7 linked regions of the Macaca mulatta genome follow. The protein of the gene in region 1 purifies or fractionates together with the protein of each later gene. This does not show direct contact. Links are inferred from orthologs where the notes say so. Each region holds a gene or a part of one and is shown in the gene's direction. Other genes may lie near its edges.

What was found.
Region 2: the proteins of STAT3 (region 1) and PTPN2 purify together in Homo sapiens (affinity purification with western blotting; 7 studies listed by BioGRID). This does not show direct contact. The link is inferred for Macaca mulatta from reciprocal best matches to the Homo sapiens genes STAT3 and PTPN2.
Region 3: the proteins of STAT3 (region 1) and PIAS3 purify together in Homo sapiens (affinity purification with western blotting; 5 studies listed by BioGRID). This does not show direct contact. The link is inferred for Macaca mulatta from reciprocal best matches to the Homo sapiens genes STAT3 and PIAS3.
Region 4: the proteins of STAT3 (region 1) and HIF1A purify together in Homo sapiens (affinity purification with western blotting; 4 studies listed by BioGRID). This does not show direct contact. The link is inferred for Macaca mulatta from reciprocal best matches to the Homo sapiens genes STAT3 and HIF1A.
Region 5: the proteins of STAT3 (region 1) and TRIM59 purify together in Homo sapiens (affinity purification with western blotting; 4 studies listed by BioGRID). This does not show direct contact. The link is inferred for Macaca mulatta from reciprocal best matches to the Homo sapiens genes STAT3 and TRIM59.
Region 6: the proteins of STAT3 (region 1) and PTPN11 purify together in Homo sapiens (affinity purification with western blotting; 3 studies listed by BioGRID). This does not show direct contact. The link is inferred for Macaca mulatta from reciprocal best matches to the Homo sapiens genes STAT3 and PTPN11.
Region 7: the proteins of STAT3 (region 1) and CEBPB purify together in Homo sapiens (affinity purification with western blotting; 3 studies listed by BioGRID, with this or other methods). This does not show direct contact. The link is inferred for Macaca mulatta from reciprocal best matches to the Homo sapiens genes STAT3 and CEBPB.

What each region holds. Positions count from the first base shown.
Region 1 is NC_133421.1:66,665,810-66,669,444, reverse strand, and holds part of STAT3 (signal transducer and activator of transcription 3), read left to right. Parts: intron 1-34; coding exon 35-133; intron 134-249; coding exon 250-385; intron 386-1,774; coding exon 1,775-1,827; intron 1,828-2,045; coding exon 2,046-2,140; intron 2,141-2,256; coding exon 2,257-2,396; exon of another isoform or gene 2,397-2,482; intron 2,483-2,874; exon of another isoform or gene 2,875-2,909; coding exon 2,910-3,122; intron 3,123-3,635. UniProt on the Homo sapiens protein: Signal transducer and transcription activator that mediates cellular responses to interleukins, KITLG/SCF, LEP and other growth factors. Once activated, recruits coactivators, such as NCOA1 or MED1, to the promoter region of the target gene.
Region 2 is NC_133423.1:83,486,528-83,490,162, reverse strand, and holds part of PTPN2 (tyrosine-protein phosphatase non-receptor type 2), read left to right. Parts: intron 1-1,090; coding exon 1,091-1,300; intron 1,301-2,369; coding exon 2,370-2,522; intron 2,523-3,635. UniProt on the Homo sapiens protein: Non-receptor type tyrosine-specific phosphatase that dephosphorylates receptor protein tyrosine kinases including INSR, EGFR, CSF1R, PDGFR.
Region 3 is NC_133406.1:119,438,308-119,442,505, forward strand, and holds the start of PIAS3 (E3 SUMO-protein ligase PIAS3), read left to right. Parts: upstream 1-1,364; 5' UTR 1,365-1,381; coding exon 1,382-1,405; intron 1,406-3,392; coding exon 3,393-3,810; intron 3,811-3,967; coding exon 3,968-4,052; intron 4,053-4,198. UniProt on the Homo sapiens protein: Functions as an E3-type small ubiquitin-like modifier (SUMO) ligase, stabilizing the interaction between UBE2I and the substrate, and as a SUMO-tethering factor.
Region 4 is NC_133412.1:134,833,511-134,837,145, forward strand, and holds part of HIF1A (hypoxia-inducible factor 1-alpha), read left to right. Parts: intron 1-3,122; coding exon 3,123-3,235; intron 3,236-3,635.
Region 5 is NC_133407.1:63,616,519-63,620,890, reverse strand, and holds the start of TRIM59 (tripartite motif-containing protein 59), read left to right. Parts: upstream 1-1,469; 5' UTR 1,470-1,556; intron 1,557-1,733; exon of another isoform or gene 1,734-1,799; intron 1,800-2,469; 5' UTR 2,470-2,542; intron 2,543-4,372. UniProt on the Homo sapiens protein: E3 ubiquitin ligase involved in different processes such as development and immune response. Serves as a negative regulator for innate immune signaling pathways by suppressing RLR-induced activation of IRF3/7 and NF-kappa-B via interaction with adapter ECSIT.
Region 6 is NC_133416.1:119,657,188-119,661,453, forward strand, and holds the start of PTPN11 (tyrosine-protein phosphatase non-receptor type 11), read left to right. Parts: upstream 1-1,381; 5' UTR 1,382-1,567; coding exon 1,568-1,581; exon of another isoform or gene 1,582-2,853; intron 2,854-4,266. UniProt on the Homo sapiens protein: Acts downstream of various receptor and cytoplasmic protein tyrosine kinases to participate in the signal transduction from the cell surface to the nucleus. Positively regulates MAPK signal transduction pathway. Dephosphorylates GAB1, ARHGAP35 and EGFR.
Region 7 is NC_133415.1:103,041,741-103,045,465, forward strand, and holds CEBPB (CCAAT/enhancer-binding protein beta), read left to right. Parts: upstream 1-1,356; 5' UTR 1,357-1,557; coding exon 1,558-2,592; 3' UTR 2,593-3,197; downstream 3,198-3,725. UniProt on the Homo sapiens protein: Important transcription factor regulating the expression of genes involved in immune and inflammatory responses. Also plays a significant role in adipogenesis, as well as in the gluconeogenic pathway, liver regeneration, and hematopoiesis.

The sequences.
Region 1 (3,635 bases):
TGCCTCCCCAGCTCAGTCCCCACTTCCTCCGCAGACCCACTCCTTGCCAGTTGTGGTGATCTCCAACATCTGTCAGATGCCAAATGCCTGGGCGTCCATCCTGTGGTACAACATGCTGACCAACAACCCCAAGGTTAGTACCCCCTCCTTTTAGTTGGTACCCCGGGATCTCTTGCGATGTATGGGTACCTAGTACAGACAATGAGCACCATCCCTCATCTAAACAAGCAAATGTGTTCTTTCCAATAGAACGTAAACTTTTTTACCAAGCCCCCAATCGGAACCTGGGATCAAGTGGCCGAGGTCCTGAGCTGGCAGTTCTCCTCCACCACCAAGCGAGGACTGAGCATCGAGCAGCTGACTACACTGGCGGAGAAACTCTTGGGTCTGCGTTTAACCCCTTCTCCCTCCCGCCTGCCCAGAAAAGGGATCCGGCCCACAGGGCTATTCATTTGGGTCATGTCTACTGAGCGTTAGGCCATGTTTCTTTCCTGAGCAAGGTGCTGTGCTGGTGCCAGGAAACAGGGGCTCCATCGAGTTGGGGAGTTGGGGTACAGAGACAGTTTGCAGTTTTCAGTCGAGGTGATCATTTTTGAGGTGGGAGGTGGATTTCTTTTCTCCTGGTTGCTGTCTCATTCACCCACTCCAACTAACCTTAGAAGATCTTTTAAATGTGTGTTGGAAGGTGGCACTAAAGGCTTGACATTCCCTGTCTATTTCTTTAATAAACTACAGGCTAGGTTTTTTTTGTTTTTTTTGTTTTTTTTTTTTTGAGAGACAAGTCTCGCTCTGTTGCCCAGGCTGGAGTGCAGTGGTGCGATCTCGGCCCACTGCGACCTCTGCCTCCCCTGGGTTCAAGCAATTCTCCTGCCTCAGCCTCCCAAGTAGCTGAGACTACAGGCGCCCACCACCACGCCAAGCTAATTTCTGTATTTTTAGTAGAGATGGGGTTTTACCATGTTGGCCAGGATGATCTCCATCTCTTCACCTCGTGATCCGCCCACCTCGGCCTCCCAAATTGCTGGGATTACAGGTGTGAGCCGCCATGCCCGGCCTAGGCTAGGTTTTTAAAAAATAATTAGTGGAGGCCAGGCGTGGTAGCTCACGCCTGTAATCCCAGCACTTTGGGAGGCCAAGGTGGGTGGATCATGAGGTCAGGAGATCAAGACCATCCTGGCTAACACAGTGAAACCCCGTCTCTACTAAAAATACAAAAAATTAGCCAGGCGTGGTGGCGAGTGCCTGTAGTCCCAGCTACTCAGGAGGCTGAGGCAGGAAAATGGCGAGAACCCAAGAAGTGGAGCTTGCAGTGAGCCGAGATTGCACCACTGCACTCCAGGGTGGGCGACAGAGCGAGATTCCGTCTCAAAAAAAAAAATAATAATTAGTGGAATATTTTATGTGCTACCTGGGCTAGAAGTAGCTTTGTCCTAATAAAGCTGTTGCCACCAAATACACCTGTCTGACACCTGATGTCAGCTTGTTAGTGCTGCTGCTGGTCCCCAGCCCGCCACCCGAGGCTGGGAAGAGCAGGGGGACTTGTTACATCACCCCCTATCCGTGCTGGGCTACCCAACAACAAAAGTGGGTCAAATGATGGGGTAGTGTTTGTCCTCGTGTGTGCACACACACAACGGTGGCCACGTTCAAAGATGTGAAAGCCAATGATTTTGTGGCCCATTGTGGGACCAATGTGTGTGTGTTCTGCTTTAAGAAATAACCTCTTGACCCCAAGCGGAAAATGTACTAGTTGATTCTTTTTCTTTTCCTTCAGGACCTGGCGTGAATTATTCAGGGTGTCAGATCACATGGGCTAAATTTTGCAAAGTAAGCAATCTTGTAAAATTCTCGTGGGAATGGGAATGCCTACCTGCACGGCTGTCGTGGAGGGCTCTGGCTTGAAGGCCCTGAACTCTTGGTCCAGCAGCCAGTAGGACCTGCCTGAGGGTAGATGGGCCTGAGGAGTTGGGTGGTGCACTGTGCCCCTAGGAAGGGAAAGGCTGGGATGGCAGCAGACTTGGCTTTCCCATTACTCTTTTCTGCAGGAAAACATGGCTGGCAAGGGCTTCTCCTTCTGGGTCTGGCTGGACAATATCATTGACCTTGTGAAAAAGTACATCCTGGCCCTTTGGAATGAAGGGTAGGTTGGACAGAGTGTGCACAGATGTAACCAAGTCCCCTGCTCTCAGCAAGCCAGTGGCAGGGGATGGATGCCCTGTTAGCAGTAACAACACTGTTCCTCCTCCTTGGCTCCAGGTACATCATGGGCTTTATCAGTAAGGAGCGGGAGCGGGCCATCTTGAGCACCAAGCCTCCAGGCACCTTTCTGCTAAGATTCAGTGAAAGCAGCAAAGAAGGCGGCGTCACTTTCACTTGGGTGGAGAAGGACATCAGTGGTAAGGGAGGCTCCCACCCACCCCACCTGCTGGCGGCTGCTGAGGCCTCATCACCGCTGCTAGTTCCAAGCACCTACTGCCCCCTTGTGGTGGAGATGGCACCGACTCCCTGCCTCACTCAGACTCGCAAAACACATTTGGGTGACTTCTAAATCCTTCTAGCTGAAGGATTGATTTGTCTTTGTTTTGCTTGCTCCAGTGACTATTTGTTGAGAAATTTGCAATTTAAGTTGTATTCTTCATCCCTTTTTCTACTTAGTCCTGTTAATATATCTTACACAAGTAGTTACATTCAAGTTTATTTTCTATGACCCAACTGGTAGCCTCTTCTAAATTAGAAGCCAGCCTGAACATTTCCACCGTGCCAGGCCACTCACTGAACAGTGTGTTCAGGGTCTCAACACTAGGGTGGCTTAAGTTTTTTCCCCTTCGAGAAAAGAAAAAATGGGCAGTTTTCTCTGAGATGACCTAGCTGTAGGTTCCATGATCTTTCCTTCCCATGTCCCGTGACAGGTAAGACCCAGATCCAGTCCGTGGAACCATACACCAAGCAGCAGTTGAACAACATGTCATTTGCTGAAATCATCATGGGCTATAAGATCATGGATGCTACCAATATTCTGGTGTCTCCGCTGGTCTATCTCTACCCTGACATTCCCAAGGAGGAGGCATTCGGAAAGTATTGTCGGCCAGAGAGCCAGGAGCATCCTGAAGCTGACCCAGGTAGTTGTTGATTTTCCATGTTCCTGGCATTTAATTTTTGGGAAAAGTTAGAAATTTGGGGATCCTTGGAGGATAGATAGGCAAATGCCTGAATAACCTGGGGGATCATTATTTCTCCTTATGGGAAAGAACTGTAGTGAGTGCTTTTGTTGGGGTGACCGATGGGATTTGAGAGGAGAATCAGAATCAGTTAGACTAGTGCAGTTCCTGCTCCACAGAGAGTGCATGAGTCTAAAGAGGGGATACAGCTTGGACAACAAAAAATACAAAAAAATTACCCGGTGTGGTGGCACGCATCTGTAGTCATAGCTGCTTGGGAGGCTGAGGTGGGAGGATCACCTGAGCCGAGGAGTTCAAGGCTGTAGTGAGCGGTGATCGTGCCACTGCACTCCAGCCTGGCTGATAGAGTGAGACACTGTGTCAAAAAATACAAATAAAGAGGGGATTAATACACATACGTCCCCCGAAACATGCCAAAAACACGAGAAGGGAAAGTGAGGGCAGTTAACGGATGCT
Region 2 (3,635 bases), on another chromosome or scaffold:
TAAGAGACAGGAAACATTTAGCATGTTGGTAAACCATTTTAGCACATCAGCAAAAGCATATAAACAGCTTTAGGACTGGAAATTATTGCCATGGGGAAAGGCAACAATTAGAGGAACAATTCCAATTAAAAATGTAAAGATTGGTTCTTTAGATTAATTCTTGAGTTGCTCCCCTATGCCTGTGTAGCAGAATTCAACAGATAATCATGTTAAACAGGAAATTATATTTTAAAAATAAACTCTGAAATTCATAAAAAGGAAAATGTTAAAGAATGTAAAATTACACTGGTAGAATTTTTTTTTTTTTTTTTTGAAAATGGAGTTTCACTCTTGGTGCCCAAGCTGGTGTGCACTGGCATGATCTCTGCTCACTGCAACTTCCACCTCCTGGGTTCAAGCAGTTCTCCTGCCTCAGCCTCCCAAGTAGCTGGGATTACAGGCACGCGCCACCACGCCTGGCTAATTTTTTGTGTTTTTAGTAGAAATGGGGTTTCACCATGTTGACCAGGCTGGTCTCGAACTCCTGACCTCAGTTGATCTGCCCACCTCGGCCTCCCAAAGTGCTGGGATTACGGGCATGAGCCAATTGCGCCTGGCAGACATTTTTTAAAATAGAAAAAAGTAGTCCATTCATGATGCATGAATTAAAGAAAATATTGGTAACGTGTATGGTAACAGATTAGTAACTGAGAACCCAAAGGCTGCCCCAGGTTGCTTCGAATCCTGGTTCTGTTCCAGCTGTGTGACCTTGAGCAAACTACTTACCCTTTGTTTCAGTTTTTTCACCAGGAAAATGGGTTTTAATAGGATTGTTGTGTGGATTTAGTTAATAAGGAAAGTGTTTAGAACAGGCTTCCAAAATAGTAAGTGTTATATGTGTTAGCTATTATTAATACATCCCAAATTTCCACTGAAGAAAATCTTCCCTAATTTGTATATGGGATTGTCAGAAAACAAATGGAAAAATCATAGTATAAACAGCCCATATGGCTGTAAAGGATTACACAAAACACATGATCTTTCTGAAGTAGTTTTTTTAAAAGAAAAAAAAATAGAACTAACTTGTCCTCCCTTGATTTTCACTTTTTAGAGTGGTGAAACCAGAACAATATCTCACTTTCATTATACTACCTGGCCAGATTTTGGAGTCCCTGAATCACCAGCTTCATTTCTCAATTTCTTGTTTAAAGTGAGAGAATCTGGCTCCTTGAACCCTGACCATGGGCCTGCGGTGATCCACTGTAGTGCAGGCATTGGGCGCTCTGGCACCTTCTCTCTGGTAGACACTTGTCTTGTTTTGGTAAGTGCTTCTTGCGATCTCATTTTAATCTCATTGATTTTTTTTTTTAATTGCTTCCACTGGCAAGGAAGAAGCACTGATGTTGTATCATAGAACTGAGGTTTTTCAACTTTTAACTTCTACTTTTGGAAAAACCTAAAAATCTCATTTCCATGTTTGCAACTGCGTCTTATTCATGACTGGTAGAAATGTATCCAAGATGATTTTAGAGATTCCTAAGAAGATGTTTTTCTTCCTGGTAGCTTTATATTACAGAAATAATAGGTCTCTTCCCCTCATTTTTTCAAATATAAATTCATATGTAATACTGACTTCCTCCTCAGACAAATACTTTATCTCATTTTTTTAAATTTAAAAACTAGGGATAATGATAGACATATTTCACAGGGTTGCTGTGAGAATTCAATGAATTAATACATTAAGGGACACTAGAAGAGTCCCTGGTGTTTTCTGAGCATTCCATAAATGTCAGTATTACTGTTACTCGCCTGAGGTTCCTGTCTGTGCCCCTAAGGGCTAATTCTTTCTGCACCAGTCAATCCCAGTCCCAGCCTGTATACAGCCTAAATCTTTTTTTCTCTTTTTAGGACCTTTATTTTTTCCTTACTGGCCTCTTTCCCACCATCTTTAGATGGGTGCTGTGTATCCAGACATCGTGTCTGTAGTGCAGACATGAAGGAGGCGGAAGGGCAGTGAGCAGAAAGGTTGACTCCTGCCATGACTTTAAAAAAAAAAAAAAAATAGTCCTTATACTAGTCAGAACTGATTATAAATCCTTCCTTTAACCAATGACTGGCCAGAAGGAATGAGATTACTATGATTGGTTTGGAATCAATTGTGAATCAGCTGAAGAATCAAAGTCCTCCATCTACTTGAGTGGTTGAGATGTGGGGAGGGATGAGTAGGCTGGGATAGTTGCTGTGTATGTAACAGTTATAGCTGCAGGGTTAAATTATCGTTATTTCAGAGGAGAAAATGCAGAGCAAAAATCTTAGCAATGATCCTGCATTGATTCTGTTTCCTGGGTTCCAGTAACAAAAGATTTGTCTGATATTTGCCTTTCTTGCAGATGGAAAAAGGAGATGATATTAACATTAAACAAGTGTTACTGAACATGAGAAAATACCGAATGGGTCTTATTCAGACCCCAGATCAACTGAGATTCTCATACATGGCTATAATAGAAGGAGCAAAATGTATAAAGGGAGATTCTAGTATACAGGTAAACTTTATACACATTTAAAATCATATCTATTTGTTAAATACACACAGCATCAAATAACTGCACCCCACTTGAGCCCTTGTCGTCTTTGTTTCAAAAAGTATGTTTGAATTTTTGTGGTAAATCCAATTGGCTGTCTTAAAATTGTAAAATTTTAGCTAGCTTCCTCATATATACTCAGCCTCAGGTTAAATCCTGTCTGTCACTTAAAAGCCCTTGTAGAAACAAGATTTCATTAAAGAAACTGAATTTTTCATTTTGGGGGTGGTTAAGCTTTTAATTATTAAAGTAGCTGGAAACTTCAGATACTTTTGCCCTCATTACACACTAATACTTGGTTTATATAATATTTGACTTTATAACAAGCACCTTGAATATTTATGGCAGATATAATGAAATTCCAGCAAAATGTTACATTCTTCTGGTTGATGGCTTTATTCTCATGAAGCTATTTTTACTGCATATTTGTAGAACCTAAATTCAAAGACTGATCAGAAGTTTGTGTTATGCACTAAGTTAAAATGTAAAATAGAAACAACCACAGACTCCATTTTTTGTATGGTTTAATCACGTCGTATTGGACGTAAGCAGATACTGTAAATTGATGCGTAATATAAGATAGACTGACTTTTCATTCTATTTCTCGTATGTGAACTTATTTACTAGCACTTTCATTTCTGTGATTACTAGCCAATACAGGAATATAACTTAGACCCTTGGTGTCAGAATAAAGGTTTATTTTAAAAGATTTTTTCCAAATCTTTAAATAGCATTAAAATATTCTTAATGAACATAAACCTTAGGGTACTCAGAGCCAAAATACTCAATGTGTGGAAAACTCAGCCCACAGAACATGTCCTGCTTCAGACACTAGACTTAGGGAACATTGGGTTTCCTGGGATTACTTTGGCAGTGACCAGTGATTTCGGTGAAGTAAAAGTTATTTCAGATGTTTAAGATTAGGAAAATTTCCCTTTCTAATCGCAGTGAGCTTTCACCAACTTAAATCTGGAGTTCAAAAAGAAAATCAAGTAGTTCAGTCAGATTTCCCCATGCCTTCACAGCCTGCTTCCTGGCTGTGGTGAGGTGGGTCACTGGGAGGGAAGTGTATGG
Region 3 (4,198 bases), on another chromosome or scaffold:
TTGGTTGGGATGGGGCCTCTGGAGGGTCCAAGGCTTTGGAGGAAGGAGAGTGAGTAGGTAGTTCAGAGAGGGACAGAAAGATTCCTTTTGTTGGCAAGAAAACCCCTCAATTCATCTTCAGCTACACCAAAGGTATGGGGGCTCTGGTGGAGGTACTGTGCAGGGGTATCTGGAGTAGTTACTGTTAGGTACACTTTGGATTCAGTAGCCCAGGCTTTGCCCTAGGGAGAGACAGTTGTCATTTCAAGGAAGACTGCTTTATACGGTCAGACACCTGGTTCACACGGCCTTAGCAGCAGCGTGCCACCACCCCAATCCCACACATAAGCGTGAGGGGTCACAGAGGTAGTGAGAATGATGGGATCCAAGGATCTCATCTCTCCAGATCCACTCACACCAGGAGTTAATCGCTCCAGCGCCAGGCTCTGAGTCCCTCCCTCTCTCGCCCGAGCTCCGCCCCCCTTCCCTCTCGGCGGTCCTGGCGGGCTTCCCGTGGAGGGGGCGGCCCCAGCCCGAGCGCTAGGCCGGGCGGAGCTCCGGCCCGGGCGGAGCCGCGGCCGCCGCGTCCGGCCGCTGGACCGAACTTCTGCCGTGCGGACAGCAGGAGCGGCGCCGAGCCCCATGCCCCCACCTCTCCAGCCCGCCCTCTGAGCCTCCCGAACCCTCTCTCCATTTCCCACAACTGTGCTGGTAAGTCCCGCTCCCCGCACCAAACTTTTTTTGCTGCTGAGTTTGAGTCCTACGATCGGACCACGAGCTGCATTGTAGTTGGTGTTGGGGGGAGGAGGAGAGGGTGAATTGAGTATAGCTGTCTTGAACTGAATGCCGACTCCACGGCTTCCCTAAGACGGATCAGCGCTCGCCCATTTCCCGAGTTGGAAGACCTCTCGATTTTAGTTGCTTAAACTTATGTAGAGATGGAGATGAGGGTTTGCGCTCCAACTTCGCTACCCCCTCCCCCATTTCTCTGAGCTCTAGCAGTTCCCGATACTTTCCCTCCATCTTTCAAGTATCTTTGGCTCTCTAAAAGCTTGTCCCCTCCCAACTCTGCCGTGGCAAAGCCCCCCTCCACCAGGCACTTCGGACCCGCCTCCTCTTCGTTGCCCTAGGGGACCCCGCGATCTTGGGGGCCATAAACTCCCTCCGGGGCTACGCGTCCTGCCAACCCGCCGCAGACGTGTAGCTGCTGGGTCCGCTGTGGAGGGAGGGGCTCAGGCTGGGGCTAGTCCGAAGCCAGGCGGGCGGGGCCGGGAAGGGGAGGTATAGGGGGCCGGACGGGGCGGAGCAGGCGGCATTTGCGGCCGGCGCCGGGGTGGAGAGTTGTGCGCCGGTCCCTGGGCCTGAGCTCCGGCTCCGGCTAGGGCGCCTGCGATGTCTCAAGATGGCGGAGCTGGGCGAATTAAAGGTACCGGCCCCCTCCCCCATCCCCATCTGGACTGATTCCGGCGGTACGCCGTGTCCGGGAAGCGACCGAGACTGGGTGCCGGGGCTCGGGTGGGCGCCGACGACGTGGCAGGCACGGGCTGCTGAGGATGGGAAAGAAGTGGCTGAGAGCGAGGAAGGGGCTGCGGCGGGGCTCCGGGGGCGGGGCTGCGGGGCAGATGTAGGGGTGGGGCCGAGGGGAATTGCAGCTGTTGGGGGCTGAGGCGCAGGGGGCGGGGACGAAGGGTAGAAGTCGGATTTAGTAGTAGGGGCAGTTGTTGGGGTAGGGCCAGGGGGAAAAGCTGCTCTAGAGGCACTGGGGGCGAGTCGATCGAGGCCAAGAGATGCGACAGTAGGGGGCAGATGCAGGGATGGGACCGCGGGGCAGATGTAGGGGAGGCTCCGGGGGAAAGGCAGCTGAAAGGGTAGGGTCTTTGGGGCTACTCTCGGGATCCGAGCTTTGGGAAATACCAGTAGGCGGCTGAGATGCAGGGGGCGGGGCTGTGCGGGCTGATACCTCGAGGGGTGGGGCAGAAGCATCCTGGAGGCTCAGAGGAAGGTCCTGCCTTAGTGAATCGCGATGTTTGGGCAGAGGCAGAGGCATGTGAAACTATGAGATAGAAAGGAGGGAAGTTATAGGGAAAGCTAATGGAAAAAATAAGACAGGACAGAGAAGATAAAGATTGGGAGAAAGAGGAGCAAGTTTCTCATCACATTCCACAAAAGGGGTCCAAGACAAAGCCTCCTGTGAGAAGAATTGTGTAGGGCTAGCAAGCCCTGCCCATGACAGGATCTCCTAGAGATTCACAGAAGGGAGTCCTCCCTCTAAGGAGAGCGCTCCCCTCCTTCTGCCACACAGAGTTTGGAGGGTGACCACGTCTGAGGACATCTCATAGAACCTTAAACCACCGAGTTCATCCCCATGCCTCCTGGTTTTCTTCTGCCCTTTGAAATGGAGCTATGGTCCTGGGCAGTCTGGAGGTCTAGCCACTGGGCCCAGCTACCTTCAGGAAATTTGCGATTCTGTGCCCTGACTCAGAGGCTTTTCCTTCATCCACCCAGGGCCTCTGTTTAGAGCTCTGCCCGCTCCTCTTCCACCCGTGTAGGGGGGCTGTAGGTTGTACAGGAGTATTATTTTCTCTCTGTAGGAGAGACGCCAGATAATGGTTCCTGGCAGATAGAGTAAACAGGCAGGATACTTGGACTCAGTGAATCACTGTTAATCTCCTCAACCTAAGTTTTGGTCCTGTTTCCCTTCCAGAAAAATAGGACTAAGTTGTGGGGAGGGGGCGGTTATATTAATGATTCCAAGAAAGGATCTGGGGGAGTAATGAGCATTGAACCCTGACCTGAAAACCCCGGCCCACAGAAGCTTCAGAGGCTTGGGGGAAATAGCTGAGGAATTAAGGTGGTTTGGAGGGGTGGGCTGAAGGGCACAATCCTCCAGCCACCTGGCCCCTTTCTTCCCCGTGGGGCTGTCTGGCTTGAATCCTCTTGTCTCTCCCTCCTTCTCCCTGTCTCCTATCCTCTTCCCAGGAGGCTGGGATGAGTTTGAGTGTCTGAGAAAGGGCAAGAGAGGAGATAAGCAGCTTAAAGGAGAGTCCAGACTAGAGGCAGGGTTGGAGGCGGGAGGCTGTGTAGACTTGGAGGTGTGTCTGAGGGTGGCTTGCTGTCTGCCATTCCCTGCCCCACTCTGGCCACTTCCAGGCCTGGGGAGACAGACAGTGTTGCTCAAGCTTGGGGTGGGCAGGGGGTGGTGATGATGCTGACCTGATGGTTGCTAAAGTGGGACTGAGATGTCCCTTTGGATAGGTTGACTACCTGGCAGTAATCCACTAGCTGCGAAGCATCATCTTTCCCATCAGTGCTGGAGGGAAAAAGGCACTGCCCACCTGGTAGCTCAGCCCATGTCTTGGCAGGGCAGGCCTGTGCAACGGAGGATTCTCAAGCTTCTCTGTTCTTCTCCACAGCACATGGTGATGAGTTTCCGGGTGTCTGAGCTCCAGGTGCTTCTTGGCTTTGCTGGCCGGAACAAGAGTGGGCGGAAGCACGAGCTCCTGGCCAAGGCCCTGCACCTCCTGAAGTCCAGCTGTGCCCCTAGCGTCCAGATGAAGATCAAAGAGCTTTACCGACGACGCTTTCCCCGGAAGACCCTGGGGCCCTCTGACCTCTCCCTTCTCTCTTTGCCTCCTGGCACCTCTCCTGTAGGCTCCCCTGGTCCTCTAGCTCCCATTCCCCCAACCCTCTTGGCCCCTGGCACCCTGCTGGGCCCCAAGCGTGAGGTGGACATGCACCCCTCTCTTGCCCAGCCTGTGCACCCTGATGTCACCATGAAACCATTGCCCTTCTATGAAGTCTACGGGGAGCTCATCCGGCCCACCACCCTTGGTATGGCTCTTTGTGGTCCCTTAGTCTTCTGGACTCCCTACCTGTTCCCCAGACATTTCTTAGGCTTTAGTCCTATGGGATCAGTGACCTGGGATGGGGGTGATTTCTGTGGCTGCCTGTGCATGGGCTTGGAATAACTGCCCCTTTGTATCCTCAGCATCCACTTCTAGCCAGCGGTTTGAGGAAGCGCACTTTACCTTTGCCCTCACACCCCAGCAAGTGCAGCAGATTCTTACATCCAGGTACATCTCTTCCAGTCTTCCTCCCTCATCCCTGGGGGGTTACCCCTGGACTCTGCTTTCTGACTTTCTTCTCTTCTGCCCTGCGCTTTTCCCTATCCATCCTCTTGTGCCTACTTGTCTCTCGTTCTTTTGTGTGTCTCTGCTCT
Region 4 (3,635 bases), on another chromosome or scaffold:
TATAAAGGAGGAGTAAATATGCGATGAGCAAGGACCTAAGTGGGCTGTCAGTGAGTTTAATATATGAGTTCTAATGTGCAGAGTTGAGGTTTATATTGACTGCTCAGTGCTTCCCTGGGGCTAGACTATAAATGGATGGATATTAGGAAGTCTTGTTCTGATTTGGTAATGATGTTAATGCATTATTCTAAATCAGATAGTCTTAATATAGTTTAAATGTATGTTTCGAACCAAATGTTCTTTTTTAAAGCACACAAACATTTTGAAATCATTCCTAATGTGGTTATGAATTATTGATGTTCCATTGGGAAACTAAAATGCAGATTTTTCTCTTTTAGAAACTAGGGACTGTTGCAAAGCATCATATTTTAGTGATACACTGAGAGCCAGTGGTGTGTTTATAATAGGACAAACAGTCCTATTATTCTTCCGTATAAATTCTAGAAAAATGCTTTAGAATTTATAAATTATTACAAAATAAGACTTATTTTTAGAGAGTTTAAAATTTAGGGGTTTTTTTTAATGGTTTGTTGTGTTTTTTTTCCTCATTAGGAAAACACTAGTACTTTTCAGTTACCTTGATTTTTAAATTAATCTGCAGGTCCCCATTCAAAGGCCTTGGGTTCTTTTCAAAGGTCAGTATAATTCAAGCTTAGATTATGAAGGACTGAACATACCCAAAGGATTTTGCATGTGGATCTTTACTGCCACTACCACAACCATCACCACCTACGTACACACACGACACACTCATTCTCTCTCTCTCTCTCTCTCCCTCCCACACTCCCTCCCTTCCCCTCGCCTCCCACCCCCACCCTTTGCTCTCATGGCATCTTTTAAAAATATACTCTTGAATCCTTCCAGGGAGGGCAAATTCACTTCTTATCTAAGTAAACACAAGTGGCATGCATCAGTACCAGGACTGCCCATCTTGCCTAGTTCCATTATTAAATGAGTATAGGCTAGAATTCATCTTGTTCCTTAAGAGTCCAGTATTTCTAGCTAACCATGCCTACATTTAAACTTACTCTCATTTCTTTTCTACTTGACAGTGTTCTTCCAATATACTAGCATTACAATTTCTAGATTTGATTTTCTCTCCTGTCTTATTTCCATCCGTTTTCAAGTCTATTAAGATCTACCTCTTCATTTGTCTTTTACCACCATTCTTTTCACTCATACTACTGCTACTGGCTCAGCCCTCTCATTACAGTCACGTAATTCTAACATATATATTGCTGCTAAGTTAATTTTCCTTAAGTTACTGATTGTGCTTTTTAAAAGCCCCTTGTTGAATATTTAGGCAGGACTCCATGTGGACATCCACAGGCCTCCGTAGTACAGCCCTAACGTTCCCTTCTGACTTTGCCTTCCTACTCTTCTATGTGTACTTTACATTGTGGACAAACTACTATATGCAGTTTTTCAAACATGTCCTATTTTTCCTACCTCTGTGCTTTTCATTCTCTTCCTTCTCCCTGGAACCTTCTAACCCATCTCTACTTACTGACATTCTAATGTCTCTTTTTCTAAGCAGGACTTCTTGATTCCCCTTGACTAGAAGTTATTCCTCTAAGCTCTCCCTATCCTCCCTTAAAGCATTTTTATAAGTCTCAAGTACCAACTCTACATTGTGTTTTTGTTGACCTTACTATATCTACTACATTTTTAACTTCTTCAGGAAAGGTGGTGTGTCTTACTCATCTTTGTATTGCCTGCAATCTCTAGTCCAGGTTCTAAATAATAAATATTTTTATATGTGTTTTGAAGTACATTGACCAATGAAGATAAGAAATCAAGAGGCTATTTCCTTTTTTTTTTTTTTTTTTTTTTTTTTTTAGACAGTGTCTCACTTTGCCACCCAGGCTGGAGTGCAGTGGCACAATCTCAGTTCACTGCAACCTCTGCCTCCTGGGTTCAAGTGATTCTCACGCCTCAACCTCCCAAGTAGCTGGGATTATAAGCGTGCACCACCACACCTAGCTAATATTTATATTTTTAGTAGAGATGGGGTTTTACCATGATGGCCAGCATGGTCTCAAACTTCTGGCCTCAAGTGATCTTCCTGCCTCAGCCTCCAAAGTGCTGGGATTACAGGCATGAGGCATGAGCCACCATGCCCAGCAAGATGCTATTTCCTTAGTCACCTAAATATAATCTCATTTTTAGTTATAGAAGGTTTGAAATAGGAGTGAATAGACTTTACTTAATTCTGACTTTACTTTATTTCTGTAGTTTTTTTTTTTTTTTTTTTTTTTTGAGATGGATTCTCACTCTTTCGCCCAGGTTGGAGTGCAGTGGCACAGTCTCAGCTCATTGCAACCTCCGCCTCCCGGGTTCAAGTGATTCAACTGCCTCAGTCTCCCGAGTAGCTGGGATTACAGGCACCCACCATCACACCCAGCTAATTTTTGTATTTTTAGTAGAGACAGGGTTTCACCATGTTGGCCAGGCTGGTCTCGAACTCCTGACCTCAAGTGATCCTCCTGCCTCAGCCTCCCAAAGTGCTGGGATTACGGGCATGAGCCACCATGCCCTATTTCTGTAACTTTTGATAAGTCATTTGATCTGTTGTTGTTTTCTTATAGTAACAAAGTAGAAATAATTTTCTGCCTGCTTTACTAGATAAATTAAGGGGAAAAAATAAGATATGTAAAAATGTTATTTGTTATTAAAAAGAAAGTTGCTATTTTAAAGGTTCTGTAAATACATAGAGTGCTTATTAGAAATTGAGCTAACACATTCAGGAAAGAATAGGAAGAGTTTGCTGAAGTTCTTTCTTTAGGGATTCTTGTGTACCAATAGCACAGTTAAAGAGCAAACTCATACCATTTTTATATTTCTCTGTAGTTTGACTAAACTTACTTGCTTGAATGATTAACTGTTATCCCAAATACGGATTATCTTTCAGTCAACTCAGGGAATCAGAGCTACTGAGTAGTATGTGTCAGATCTCTTGGGTGTGCTGGAGTGAGTAAAAGGGGAATGAATTACTGTGTTCATGCTGAGACTTTTAATTGAACAGGTATTCAGTTGATCTAGGTGATGGGCACTTTGCTACTTTCATTGTAACAAATTTGTATATTTAGTTGCTTTAAAACTTTATTTCATGCTTTCATTAGGCCCTGTGAAAAAGGGTAAAGAACAAAACACACAGCGAAGCTTTTTTCTCAGAATGAAGTGTACCCTAACTAGCCGAGGAAGAACTATGAACATAAAGTCTGCAACATGGAAGGTAAGTGAAAATTATTTGTGATTGATGATACACTTTATTTATACATAGACATTGCAGTATTAAGATAACTTTAGAATTGTGAGGGAAGGTTTACAGTTCCTTGGTGTTTGGTTATGTAACATTTATACCTTCAACTGATTTGCATATGATTCCTAAAATCCAGAACCGTGTAGTAATTTGCCAATTTGAGGCACAAACTTAAATTAGGTGAATTGTGGCACTGGTATACTAGGCTTACCTAATCAGTTGGCTTTGCCAACCACACAATATTTGGATCCTGGTAGGGCTTAATTTTCTATTAATCATGGTTTTGTATCTTTGTTCAATGTTGAGACATAGTCATCAGTGCAAGAAATAACTATCAAACCAGCCCGGATGATGAGATGAATGAAAAAGCAGC
Region 5 (4,372 bases), on another chromosome or scaffold:
TCTTGGCCTCCCGAAAGTGCTGGGATTACGGGCGTGAGCCACTGCACCCGGTCTAGAGCCCATATCTTTATTTAGCACATTAGTAAACAAAATGACTTTAGTTATCAGAAGTTAAGTAATTCAAACTTAAAGCTGTTGGAACTTTATTCTGAGCCTTGAGAGGAATGTGGCTACAGCCTGAGCCAAGCAGCAGGCATCTGCACCGTCTGCCTTTTGTTTCTGTAAATAATTAAAATCGGAGGAGCAAACCATACCAGAGATACAACCCCCTGAGATCACTACCCGTCCTCACGGAGTAACGAAGTACTCTTTCTTGGAATGTAGCAATCTGTAACCTACCAAATAGCTGTAAGTATGTACTGGTCTCTTACGGAAAATGAAATCCTGCTAAAATTTGTCTCTGGCCACCTAGGTGAAACCTTAACTTCTTCACTTTGGAATGCTGACCCCATTTGGAGCTGGTGTCTCCTGGGTGGCTACCCTCAAGCTTTACGCTGGAATAAACTCTTATCCTTAATCATATTTCCTGAACCTATTTAAGGTCGACAGGAGAGGGAAGCGGAGATGTCTTGAGATAAAGCTGAATAAAGTTTCTCAAGAAAAAAGGGAAAGAGACCTCTGAGCTGTAAGTTGTTTTCTAACTCTAGGGAGTTAGAGGTGAAGTAGGAACCTGAAGTTGGAAGTGCTGAGTTGGACAGCCCTCATCTCTAGGCAATACTTTAGTAAAGTGGAAAAACGGGAGAAGACGACGAAGGCTAGGGAGAGATGCACCCAACCCAGTCCCGGGTTTCCCACTCGCTCTCGGAGTTGGGTACAAAGAGTGTTCCAAAACCCCTTCTCCTGTGCTCAGCCCAGTGCTCCGGTGGGTCAGGTCTCCGGAACGCGTAAACAAAAGCAAACAGCTGAGCGGCGGAGGGCGCTGGCGACAGGTGTGGGTGTGCCCTGAGGATGCGTGGCGACTTCCCGGAGCAGCGGGTCTGTGTGGCAACGATGGAAGACACTGCATTCCACAGCATAGCAGCAGGCCCTGCCCTGGATGGCTCCAAGTAAAAGACAGTTCCCCAGAAGCCGTCGGCCGCCGGCGATTCGCCTCCTCCCGCGCCAGACCCCGCCTCTCCCCCAGACTACCGGTGCCATCCAGATGCCCCAGGCGGGACCCCAGCTCACGAAGCCCACTGGCCGAAGCTCCCCACAGGCTAGAGAGCCGCTCCTTCGAGGCCAAACGTCCGAGAGGCGGCCTGCGCCTAGCACGCAGGCGTGGAAAGCTAGGCGCCAGCCTCGATCTGACCGCCGCCACCTGCCTCGAGCCGCGCCGTCCGCCGTTTACTTTCGAACGAGCCCAGCAATAGTTCCCATTGGCCGATGCCGCGCAGTTGAAAGCTGCCTGCAGACTGCGCCTGCGCCGCGAGGCTCCGGGCGGCCCCGCCCGGCCTGGGCACCTGAAGCCCTTCGGGGCGGAGGAGGGCGGGGACTCGGGGCGACTCTCAGCATCAGCCAGGAGCCGGTGGCTCTCTGTTTCGGCGCTGTGGAGTCGCCTACTCCGCCTCCTCCCCGCGGTGAGTCTAAGGACCTTTACGGATCCGAGAAGGTGGCTCTGAGTCCTTTTTCTTTTCCTGTAGCACAGGCTGGTGTTCCAGTGTGTTTGCTGGGGAGTCCTGGGGGCGTGACGATGGAGGGAGTGGCTTGGGACCTGCATTCATTCCCACTTGTCCCACACTGGAGTTTGGGGAACCATTCTCCCGTCTCTCCACTGTGGAGCTGCGTTCCTGTGAGGGAGGAGGCGCTCTGTGGTGGCCAGGGTGAGCTGGGCCAGGCCGAGTCGGTCAGCCCCGCGGGGCTTGGGGTCGGGCGGTTGCGGAGGCGGAGGCGCTTTAGGAGGGAGGCCTGGGAGAGTGGAGCTTTCAGAGGGGGAGGGGAAGAGTACTGCCATTTTGAGCCCCTTTGTGGGAGGTGCTCGTAGGACTTAGGTGGGATAGGTGCAGTTACCCATTTTACAGATGTGAAGCCTCACTTTTGAGAGATATTTGATAATACTGACTCAGGTACCACAGCATTGAAATGGCAGAACAGAGAGATGAGCAAACTATACTAAATCAGTTACAATTTTGAGCTGGCAAAGTATTTTACTCCCATGGATGCTTTTGTCTTGCAGTTAATTTTAAGCACTCTAAATGACCGTGAATGTTTTTTCTGCCATCGCCGTTGGTGGGTCATATTGTCGAGAGCTCATAAGCTACTTGACGTTGTAAAGAGGTCCTTTGTGACCATCTGTTTGGTCAGAGTTCGGATTTTCAAGGAACAAGCGATACCTCTACTGCAGCTCCAGCAACTGTGTTGGTGTTTGTGACTTTTTGGAAAACACAGTGAAGCATAGTGAAGATAAACATCAAAGACAGTGAACTAACAACCATTTTTATGACATGAGACAATAAATTGAAAGCATTAAGGATAACATTATTTTAATTTTAGAATAAGAATAAAAGATTCTGGAGGAGTTGGAGAGAGTGTATTCAGTCCCCAAACCAGGAGATCAACAAAGTAGGTAAGTTCTGGGAGATTAAGTAAATATGAAAAACATTTTAACTGAGTTTTTCCAGAGTGTATCATTTAAACTATAAAGTGAAATTTAGAAGTCTTTTGAAAAAACATTATGTTGATGGTGTATCAAATTCCAACCATCTTACCGAAGGAGCGGAGCATAAAGTGAAAAACAGCTTCCTTTTCCGATCTGTACCTTAAAGGTAGTCACTCAACTCTTTCGTACATCCTTCTAGAAATTTTACAAGAATGTGTACATCTCAAAACACATGCAAAGCTGTTATTTTAGACATACAGATCTGCAGAACTACACAAAACTGCAAATTAAGTTACCTGGATACTTCTTCACTATGCATTCATATATTGGTCTTTTTAAATGAGTAAGTAGCTATTTAATCTGGCAAGGTGAAATTTTGATTTTAGGTAATGTTAGTTTTGACATTGCCTTTCACCAAACACGTTGATGACTATTTCCCACCAGATATATTTTTACTTTGAAAAGTATAACAAAAGTAATTAAAGCCTTAACTTCTCAAGTCAGTTCCTGGTTAAATTGAATTAAGTCTTTTTTTGTTTTGTTTTTAGTTTTTTTATTTTTTTAGTTTAGGAAAACAGGTTGATATCAAAATGAAATAAAATAGTACAGATGGACAAAGAGAGTTAAAATCAGCTGACCATAGGATTTTTTTTTTAATTTGAAAAAGTTAAGGTGATCTCTCATTATTTTTGTATATTTATATGTGGCAGAATTATTTTTAAAAATCTTGTTTCTCAAACTTTCCGCAACAGTGTTAAAAAAAAAAAAATCTTATATATGTATATAAATGATGAAGTTGTAGTTATTTCTTAAGTAAGTCTTCGATTGCATGAAATGTATTTCTTCTTTATCAGTTAGGGCCACAAAGATGTGAGCCCCAATTTGGGTGGTGGCACCACTTGAATTTTTCTATACTTAAAGCTGACTCACTAGAAGTCATGGGGCAAGTCATCGAATTCTATAATGTAGTAAAAATATTTTCGTTTCAGAGGCTGTGAAATGTAATGAATGTTTTACAACTGTTCATGTTTAGAGTTGAAAGGCAGGAAAGCATTAGTGAATTAAAGCTTAAAAACTGGTTTACACAAGAGAATGGGTAATGATATTTTTGGTGCTATTTTATCATCTGTTATACTATCTATTACCTAATATGCCAGTTAGACATCAGGGAGGCTCCCTAGTGAATTGGTCCTCTGGAGAAAGACTTAATAAAAAGTGTGGAAATTCAGAAATGTATTTGTTTTGACACTTAAACACAAGATGTTAGTGAAATAATTTGTCAGTAGAGTGATTTAGCCTCAGATTTCTTTGAGAAGATTCATTTTTTTATATTTATATTTCTTGGTGACTTTTAAAAGAGAAGCAGGAAATCTTGAGGTACTGGTTTCTACATGAGCTTAGTACTCACTAGAGGAAAATACATTTTACATGGGTTATTTTACTTTTTTGCTTTTTAAAAACATACAGTAGTATAAATTGATTCAAATTCATTTAGCAAAAGAAAGACTGGATAATAGGCAAGACACTTGAACATTTTTTTTAATTGTGTAAAATATACTAAACATAAAATTTACCATTTTAATATTTTTAAGTATACAGTTTGGTGGTATTAAATACATTCAGATTGTTTTGTAATTATCACCACCAACTATCTCCGTAACTTTTTCATCTTCCCAAACTGAAACTATGTACCCATTAAACCAGCAGTCCTCAACAATTTTGGTACCAGGGACCAGTCTCGAGGAAGACAATTTTTCCATGGACAGGTGCGGGTGGGTGGTACATGGTTTTGGGATA
Region 6 (4,266 bases), on another chromosome or scaffold:
GGCCTTGCCCTCTTCCTCGAGCTTCACAGTGTCCAAAATAATACTTCCCCACCACCCAGCTTTTTCGTTTGTTTGTTTTTTGTTTTAGAGACAGGGTCGTGCCATGTTGCCCCGGCTGATCTTGAACTCCTAGGCTCAAGCAATCCTCCTGCCTCGGCCTCCCAAAGTGCTGGGATGAAGGTGTGAGCCACCATACCTGGCCTGAGTGCAGTGGCCTGATCTCGGCTCACAGCAGCCTCGACCCTCCAGGCTCAAGCAATTCTCTCACCTCAGCCTCCCGAGTAGCTGGGACTACAGGCGCGTGACACCACGCCCGGCTAATTTTTGTATTTTTTGTAGAGATGGGATTTCACTATTTTGCCGGGGCTGGTTCCCAACTCCTGGACTCAAGCGATTCGCCCGCCTCAGCCTCCCAAAGGGAAGTGCTGGGATTTCAGGCGTGTGCCACTGCTCCCACCCCAAAGTAGTATTTGTTATTATTATTATCGAGACGGAGTTTGGCTCTATTGCAGGCTGGAGCGCAGTGGTGCGACCTCGGCTCACTGCAACCTCTGCCTCCCAGGTTCAAGCGATTCTCCTGCCTCAGCCTCCCAAGTAGCTGAGATTACAGGCGAACGCCACCACGTCCAGCTCATTTTTGAATTTTTAGTGGAGACCATGTTGGCCAGGATGGTCTCGATCTCTTGACCTCGTGATCCGCCCGCCTCGGCCTCCCAAAGTGCTGGGATTACGGGCGTGAGCCACCGCGCCCGGTCTATTACTAGTTTTTTTAGGCAGTGTCTTGCTGTCGCCCAGGCTGGAGGGCAGTGGCGTGATCACGACTCACTGCAGCACCGACTTCCCGGGCTTAAGTTATCCTCCCGCCGCAGCCTCCACGCCTGGCTAGGGTTTTGCATTTTTTGTAGAGATGAGGTCTTTTTTGCCCAGGCTGGCCTCTAGCTCCTAGGCTTAAGCGACACTCTTGCTGCAGCCTCCTAAATTGTTGGGGTTACGGGCGTGAGCCACCGCGCCCAGCCTAATGGAGGAAACTGAGGCTCGGAGACAGTAGGTAATTTCCCCAAGGTTCCACAGCTAATGAGTCGAGTGGCGATTTGTGGAACGAAATGAATGAAATCGATGTGGCAGTGGGCCCGGACGCGCCCGGTCGGTGGAGTGGCGTAGCCGCCGAGCGCGCAGCTCACACCCGGCGGCCGCGATTTCCGGGAGGAAGCAAGGATGCTTTGGACGCTGCGCTTAGCGCCTCCGCGGAACCCCCGCGCTGCCATTCCCGGCCGTGGCTCCGTCCTCGGCTAACGGGAAGCAGGAAGTGGCGGCGGGCGTCGCTAGCGGTGACATCACGGGGGCGACGGCGGCGAAGGGCGGGGGCGGAGGAGGAGCGAGCCGGGCTGGGGGGCGGCTGCACAGTCTCCGGGATCCCCAGGCCTGGAGGGGGGTCTGTGCGCGGCCGGCTGGCTCTGCCCCGCGTCCGGTCCCGAGCGGGCCTCCCTCGGGCCAGCCCGATGTGACCGAGCCTAGTGGAGCTTGAGCAAGGAGCGGGTCCGTCGCGGAGCCGGAGGGCGGGAGGAACATGACATCGCGGAGGTGAGGAGCCCCGAGGGGCCCGGCCCGGGCCTCGGCCCGGCCCCCGCCGCATTCGGTCAGCCCCGTCCGGAAGGGGGCGCCCCGGCCGGGCTTCGGGCTCCCGCCCCGGATCGGGATTGGGGGCCAGTTCCCTCCTCGTCCCCTGTCCCTCCTCGGCCCGGGGGCCGGCCCCACCGCGCCCCCACCCCTTGGGTCCCCATTCATTTCCTGCCTCCCTGAGTTCCGGCTGCGGCAGCCCGGGGGATGCCCGTCAGGCCTGGGGCAGGTAGAGCCGCCTAGGGAACCACGGGCGCCAGCGGCCCGGCTCAGCGCCGCATTCCTGACCCATTGCCTCATGAGAATTGCCTCATGGTGATTCCGAAATAACCCTGCTCACTTGGGGAGGCTCCTTGGGACACGAGATGGGAGTTGCGCGGGGCCGGGCCCCCAGTGGTCTAGTCGTTCTGGGTCACTGTGCCACTTGCGTGCATTTGGGGTCTTAACGAAGGACCCCTGACCCTTTTATGTGCCCCTTTGTGTCTTCTTTTTCTCCCACCCCTCACGTGCCAGAAATGGAAAAACTGACTGTATCTGCAGCCACTAGAAGTATTTCCTTCCTTTGCGATATTCGCTTTGGGAGATGGAAAGGAAGGGAGCCGCATCTCGTTATTTAATCCTTCACTGCAACCTTAACAGTCAGGTCACTTTACTGGTACCCGTTTTATGGATGAGGAAACCGAGGCCCAGAAGCAACATGCTAGTAAATGACAAGATTTGAAACTAAGGAGAATTAGTGAGTTAATGAGATCCTTTGAAAGATCAGGGTAATATTACTACTAATAGCTAACATTTGCTTAATTCTGACGACAGCCCTCTCAGATGGCTACTATTATCCCCATTGTAAAGATGAGTAAACCGAGTTTCGGAGAGGTTAAGTAGATTGCTTAACCTCACAGCTAGTAGGTGGTGGAGACAGAATCCCTACTTTTAATCACTATGTTGCTTCTATTATTTTGTAACTATTGCTAACCACTTGTAAGCCTTAATTTTGTTGTCAAACAGTAGTGTGACTTGTTTTCAGATAATGATCCTGCTATTTTATATAATCACTCTATATACCACTCACACTTAAGACCCATTGTCTATTCTTTTCCATGGTTGTTCAATTATGGTCACTGTCTCAGACATTTAAAAAACGATTCAAGCTATTGAGGCTATTTGAATGAGATTTTTTTTTCTTTCTTTTTTTTTCTCTTTTTTTGAGACGGAGTCTCACTCTGTTAACAGCCCAGGCTGGAGTGCAGTGGCACGATCTCGGCTCACCACAACCTCCGCCTCCTAGGTTCAAGCGATTCTCCTGCCTCAACCTCCCAAGTAGCTGGGACTATCGGCATGCCACTATGCCTGGCTAATTTTTTTTTTTTTTTTTTTTGAGACGGAGTCATGCTCTGTCGCCCAGGCTGGAGTGCAGTGGCCGGATCTCAGCTCACTGCAAGCTCCGCCTCCCGGGTTCACGCCATTCTCCTGCCTCAGCCTCCCAAGTAGCTGGGACTACAGGCGCCCGCCACTTCGCCCTGCTAGTTTTTTGTATTTTTTAGTAGAGACGGGGTTTCACTGTGTTAGCCAGGATGGTCTCCATCTCCTGACCTCGTGATTCGCCCGTCTCGGCCTCCCAAAGTGCTGGGATTACAGGCTTGAGCCACTGCGCCCGGCCTAATTTTTTTTTTTGAAACAGAGTCTCGCTCTCTTGCCCAGGCTGGAGTGCCGTGGCGCAATCTCGGCTCACTACAAGCTCCGCCTTCTGGGTTCAAGCCATCCTCCTGCCTCAGCCTCTCAAGTAGCTGGGACTACAGGTGCCCGCCACGACGTCTGGCGAATGTTTTGTATTTTTAGTAGAGACGGGGTTTCACCATGTTAGCCGGGATGGTCTCGATCTCCTGACCCTGTGATCCGCCCGCCTCGGCCTCCCAAAGTGCTGGAATTACAAGCATGAGCCACCGTGCCCGGCCGAGTTTTGTATTTTTAGTAGAGACGGGGTTTCACTATGTTGGCCAGGTTGGTCTTAAACTCCTGACCTCGAGATCCGCCTGCCTCGGCCTCCCAAAGTGCTGGAATTACAGGCGTGAGCCACCGCACCCGGCCTGAATGAGATTTTTCAAAATATTAGGAATGTCTCCTCCAAACAGACCTGGCATGTTATTCTTACATGGATCTGGAATTTAAAAAGGGGAGAAAAAAGAAAACAGAACTCGTAGGAAGTGAGTGACTTGGACAGGTCTGTTGGCAAGTGCTTGCGGATCTGGGTAATATATAACTGCATTTCAACGGAACAGTGTATAGCCTCAAATGTTCTAATTCTTTAGGGAGCTTTTAAATAAACAGTTGTCTATTCTTTAATCTGTCTAATAGTCATTGAGCCTTTTGTTCCTGGTGTCTGCTCTTCCAGACAAGTAAGGATTTGCTGCTTTAGGGGGCTGAGGGTTGGGAAAAGATCTGTGTAGTAATAGACCCTACATTGTACAGTTTGTTAGTTTAGAAGCATGGAAGTGTGGGCATAGTCAAAGCAGCAAGTGGTAAAGATGACAGTTTGAAATGGAGTTGTTCCTTTTCCCCTCCAGCCCTGGTATTGTGTACCACCCAAAAAGCCAGATTATGAACATAATACACAGAATTTTGAATGATTTATCATTTTTTAGATTATAAGTC
Region 7 (3,725 bases), on another chromosome or scaffold:
TCTAACCTGAGCCTAGGGAGCAGAGGCGGGCCGGTAGTTAGAGGGCCTTGGGTCTGTGTTCAAGTCCAGGCAGGCCGTTGTCACTTTCCCATCTGTGAAACGGCAGCAGCAAAAGCATCTTCCTGGTGGGGTGAAAAAGAACCTCGGGGTCCAGGCCCACCCTGAGCACAGGGCAGGGACTTGGTAAAAACTTCTCTTTCTCTTTCCTTCTCTGTTTCCTGCATGCCACCCCCCTCCCGTGAGGCCTGGCTTAAGCCCCTCCCCAGCAGCTTCAGAAACAGAAGCTTTTTGGCCTCTGGGGCTGGCAATAGGTCTTAGGGCCCAGATGAGGGCATTTCGTTTGGGATGAATGGGGGACATGCGGCCATGTGACCTTGGTATGCCATGCCATGCTCCCTCTGGGCCTCCACTGGCACAATCCATGGGGGTCCCTTTCTCTCTGATGTGCAGCCCACAACGTAAGCCTTAGGTTTGGGAGTCTGGTGGGAGCAATGCCACCACCGCTGACAGTAGCGACACCCTTCATGGACTGCAGCTGGGAGAAGTGACTCATCCAAGGTCGCACAGTGTGGCAGGGCCCAGGTCGGATGGCGCGGCGCGGGGCAAGAGAAGACCCGGGTGTGTACAAGCCGCAAGCAGGCGGCAGGTGCGGTGGGCGGGGCTAGGGGCGGGACACCGTGGACCAGGGTCCAGCCCCCAGCGCAGCGCGATCCTGCTCCGTCCCCCCGACCCCCGGGGTCCTCATATTGGCGGTGGCTTAAGAGGGGAATCGTCACAGGCGTGGAGTCTACTCCTTTCTAGAGCCGGGGACCTGTGGAAGAGGTGGGAGTTTAGGGGGAAGGGCTACGGAGATGGGTCGCTTCTCCTGGAGCTAGAGTTGCGGGCTGGGGTCTCCAGGGTTCCGCCCGGGGAGCGGCCCCTGGTCCGCCGTCGGGGCTCTGCTCGGTCCTCCTGAAACCTCCGCCTCCTCCAGCAGGGGGCGGGCCGGGGCCGCATCTCCGGGGGAAGGCGATCAGGTCGCCCCCTCCTCCGATTCCCCCGCCTTCCAGGACAGCCTCCAGCCCAGAGGGGCGGTCTGGGGGCGGGGTCGCACCGCCCCCTCTCGCTCCCAATCCCGGGGCGGCCGGGCGGGGGTGGGCAGGGGGCGTGAGGCCGCCCCCTGCGGCCCGGGGACCCCCCCCGAAAACGCGCTCCGGGTGCCCGGTCCCTCCGCTGCGCCCTGCCGCCGTCCTCCTGGGGGTCTCGGGCGGCCGCGGCCGTGTCCTTCGCGTCCCGGCGGCGCGGCGGGAGGGGCCGGTGTGACGCAGCGGTTGCTACGGGCCGCCCTTATAAATAACCGGGCTCAGGAGAAACTTTAGCGAGTCAGAGCCGCGCACGGGACTGGGAAGGGGACCCACCCGAGGGTTCAGCCACCAGCCCCCGCACTAATAGCGGCCACCCCGGCAGCGGCGGCAGCAGCAGCGACGCAGCGGCGACAGCTCAGAGCAGGGAGGCCGCGCCACCTGCGGGCCGGCCGGAGCGGGCAGCCCCAGGCCCCCTCCCCGGGCACCCGCGTTCATGCAACGCCTGGTGGCCTGGGACCCAGCATGTCTCCCCCTGCCGCCGCCGCCTGCCTTTAAATCCATGGAAGTGGCCAACTTCTACTACGAGGCGGACTGCTTGGCTGCTGCGTACGGCGGCAAGGCGGCCCCCGCGGCGCCCCCCGCGGCCAGACCCGGGCCGCGCCCCCCAGCCGGCGAGCTGGGCAGCATCGGCGACCACGAGCGCGCCATCGACTTCAGCCCGTACCTGGAGCCGCTGGGCGCGCCGCAGGCCCCGGCGCCCGCCACGGCCACGGACACCTTCGAGGCGGCTCCGCCCGCGCCCGCCCCCGCGCCCGCCTCCTCCGGGCAGCACCACGACTTCCTCTCCGACCTCTTCTCCGACGACTACGGGGGCAAGAACTGCAAGAAGCCGGCCGAGTACGGCTACGTGAGCCTGGGGCGCCTGGGGGCCGCCAAGGGCGCGCTGCACCCCGGCTGCTTCGCGCCCCTGCACCCGCCACCCCCGCCGCCGCCGCCGCCCGCCGAGCTCAAGGCGGAGCCGGGCTTCGAGCCCGCGGACTGCAAGCGGAAGGAGGAGGCCGGGGCGCCGGGCGGCGGCGCAGGCATGGCGGCGGGCTTCCCGTACGCGCTGCGCGCTTACCTCGGCTACCAGGCGGTGCCGAGCGGCAGCAGCGGGAGCCTCTCCACGTCCTCGTCGTCCAGCCCGCCCGGCACGCCGAGCCCCGCCGACGCCAAGGCGCCCCCGGCCGCCTGCTACGCGGGGGCCGCGCCGCCGCCCTCGCAGGTCAAGAGCAAGGCCAAGAAGACAGTGGACAAGCACAGCGACGAGTACAAGATCCGGCGCGAGCGCAACAACATCGCCGTGCGCAAGAGCCGCGACAAGGCCAAGATGCGCAACCTGGAGACGCAGCACAAGGTCCTGGAGCTCACGGCCGAGAACGAGCGGCTGCAGAAGAAGGTGGAGCAGCTGTCGCGCGAGCTCAGCACCCTGCGGAACTTGTTCAAGCAGCTGCCCGAGCCCCTGCTCGCCTCCTCCGGCCACTGCTAGCGCGGCCCCCGCGCGCGTCCCCCTGCCGGCCGGGGCCGAGACTCCGGGAAGCGCCCGCGCCCGCGCCCCCGCCTCCGCCCCCGGCGGCGCCGGCAAAACTTTGGCACTGGGGCACTTGGCAGCGCGGGGAGCCCGTCGGTAATTTTAATATTTTATTATATATATATATCTATATTTTTGTCCAAACCAACCGCACATGCAGATGGGGCGCCCGCCCGTGGTGTTATTTAAAGAAGAAACGTCTATGTGTACAGATGAATGATAAACTCTCTGCCTCTCCCTCTGCCCCTCTCCAGGCGCCGGCGGGCGGGCCGGTTTCGAAGTTGATGCAATCGGTTTAAACATGGCTGAACGCGTGTGTACACGGGACTGACGCAACCCACGTGTAACTGTCAGCCGGGCCCTGAGTAATCGCTTAAAGATGTTCCTACGGGCTTGTTGCTGTTGATGTTTTGTTTTGTTTTGTTTTTTGGTCTTTTTTTTTGTATTATAAAAAATAATCTATTTCTATGAGAAAAGAGGCGTCTGTATATTTTGGGAATCTTCCGTTTCAAGCATTAAGTAAGAACACTTTTAATAAACTTTTTTTTGAGAATGGTTACAAAGCCTTTTGGGGGCAGTAATTGGCTTTTGTTTTTTTTTGCTTTATTTTGGATTTGTAGGATTTTGTTTTTGCGTTTCTGGTGTGTAGTGGGTTGTGTGTGGGGGGCTGCTGTTATTTTTGGAGGTTTTGGTGGTTGGTGGGGGTGTTGCAGCTGGTTTTTCTGCCTCCTCTGCTACACCCTCCCCCCACCCACAGGGTCTGCTTGGAGATGGGGTTCCAGCCCTGGGGGAAAGGGGAGAAGAGTAATGGGTCAGGCTTTCAGGCTAACTCAGAGCTCCTGGGCGCCGGGACCGGTGGCTGGGAACCCTGCTTGAGAAGAGATTCCGGGACCTCTGACTGGTCCCGAGTGTCAGGCTTGGGTTTGGAAGGGCTGGGAGGTCTGTGACCCCTGCCCTGTGTTTGGGGACTAGATAGGCAGGCCTGTGACTGTAGGAGGAGGGGTTCAGGTCTTGGTCCTGCTGAGCCCGAGTCAGGGCAGATGCTTTTAGTAAGTGTAGTTGGGTGGGTTGTTTAAAACACAGTTTGTGTA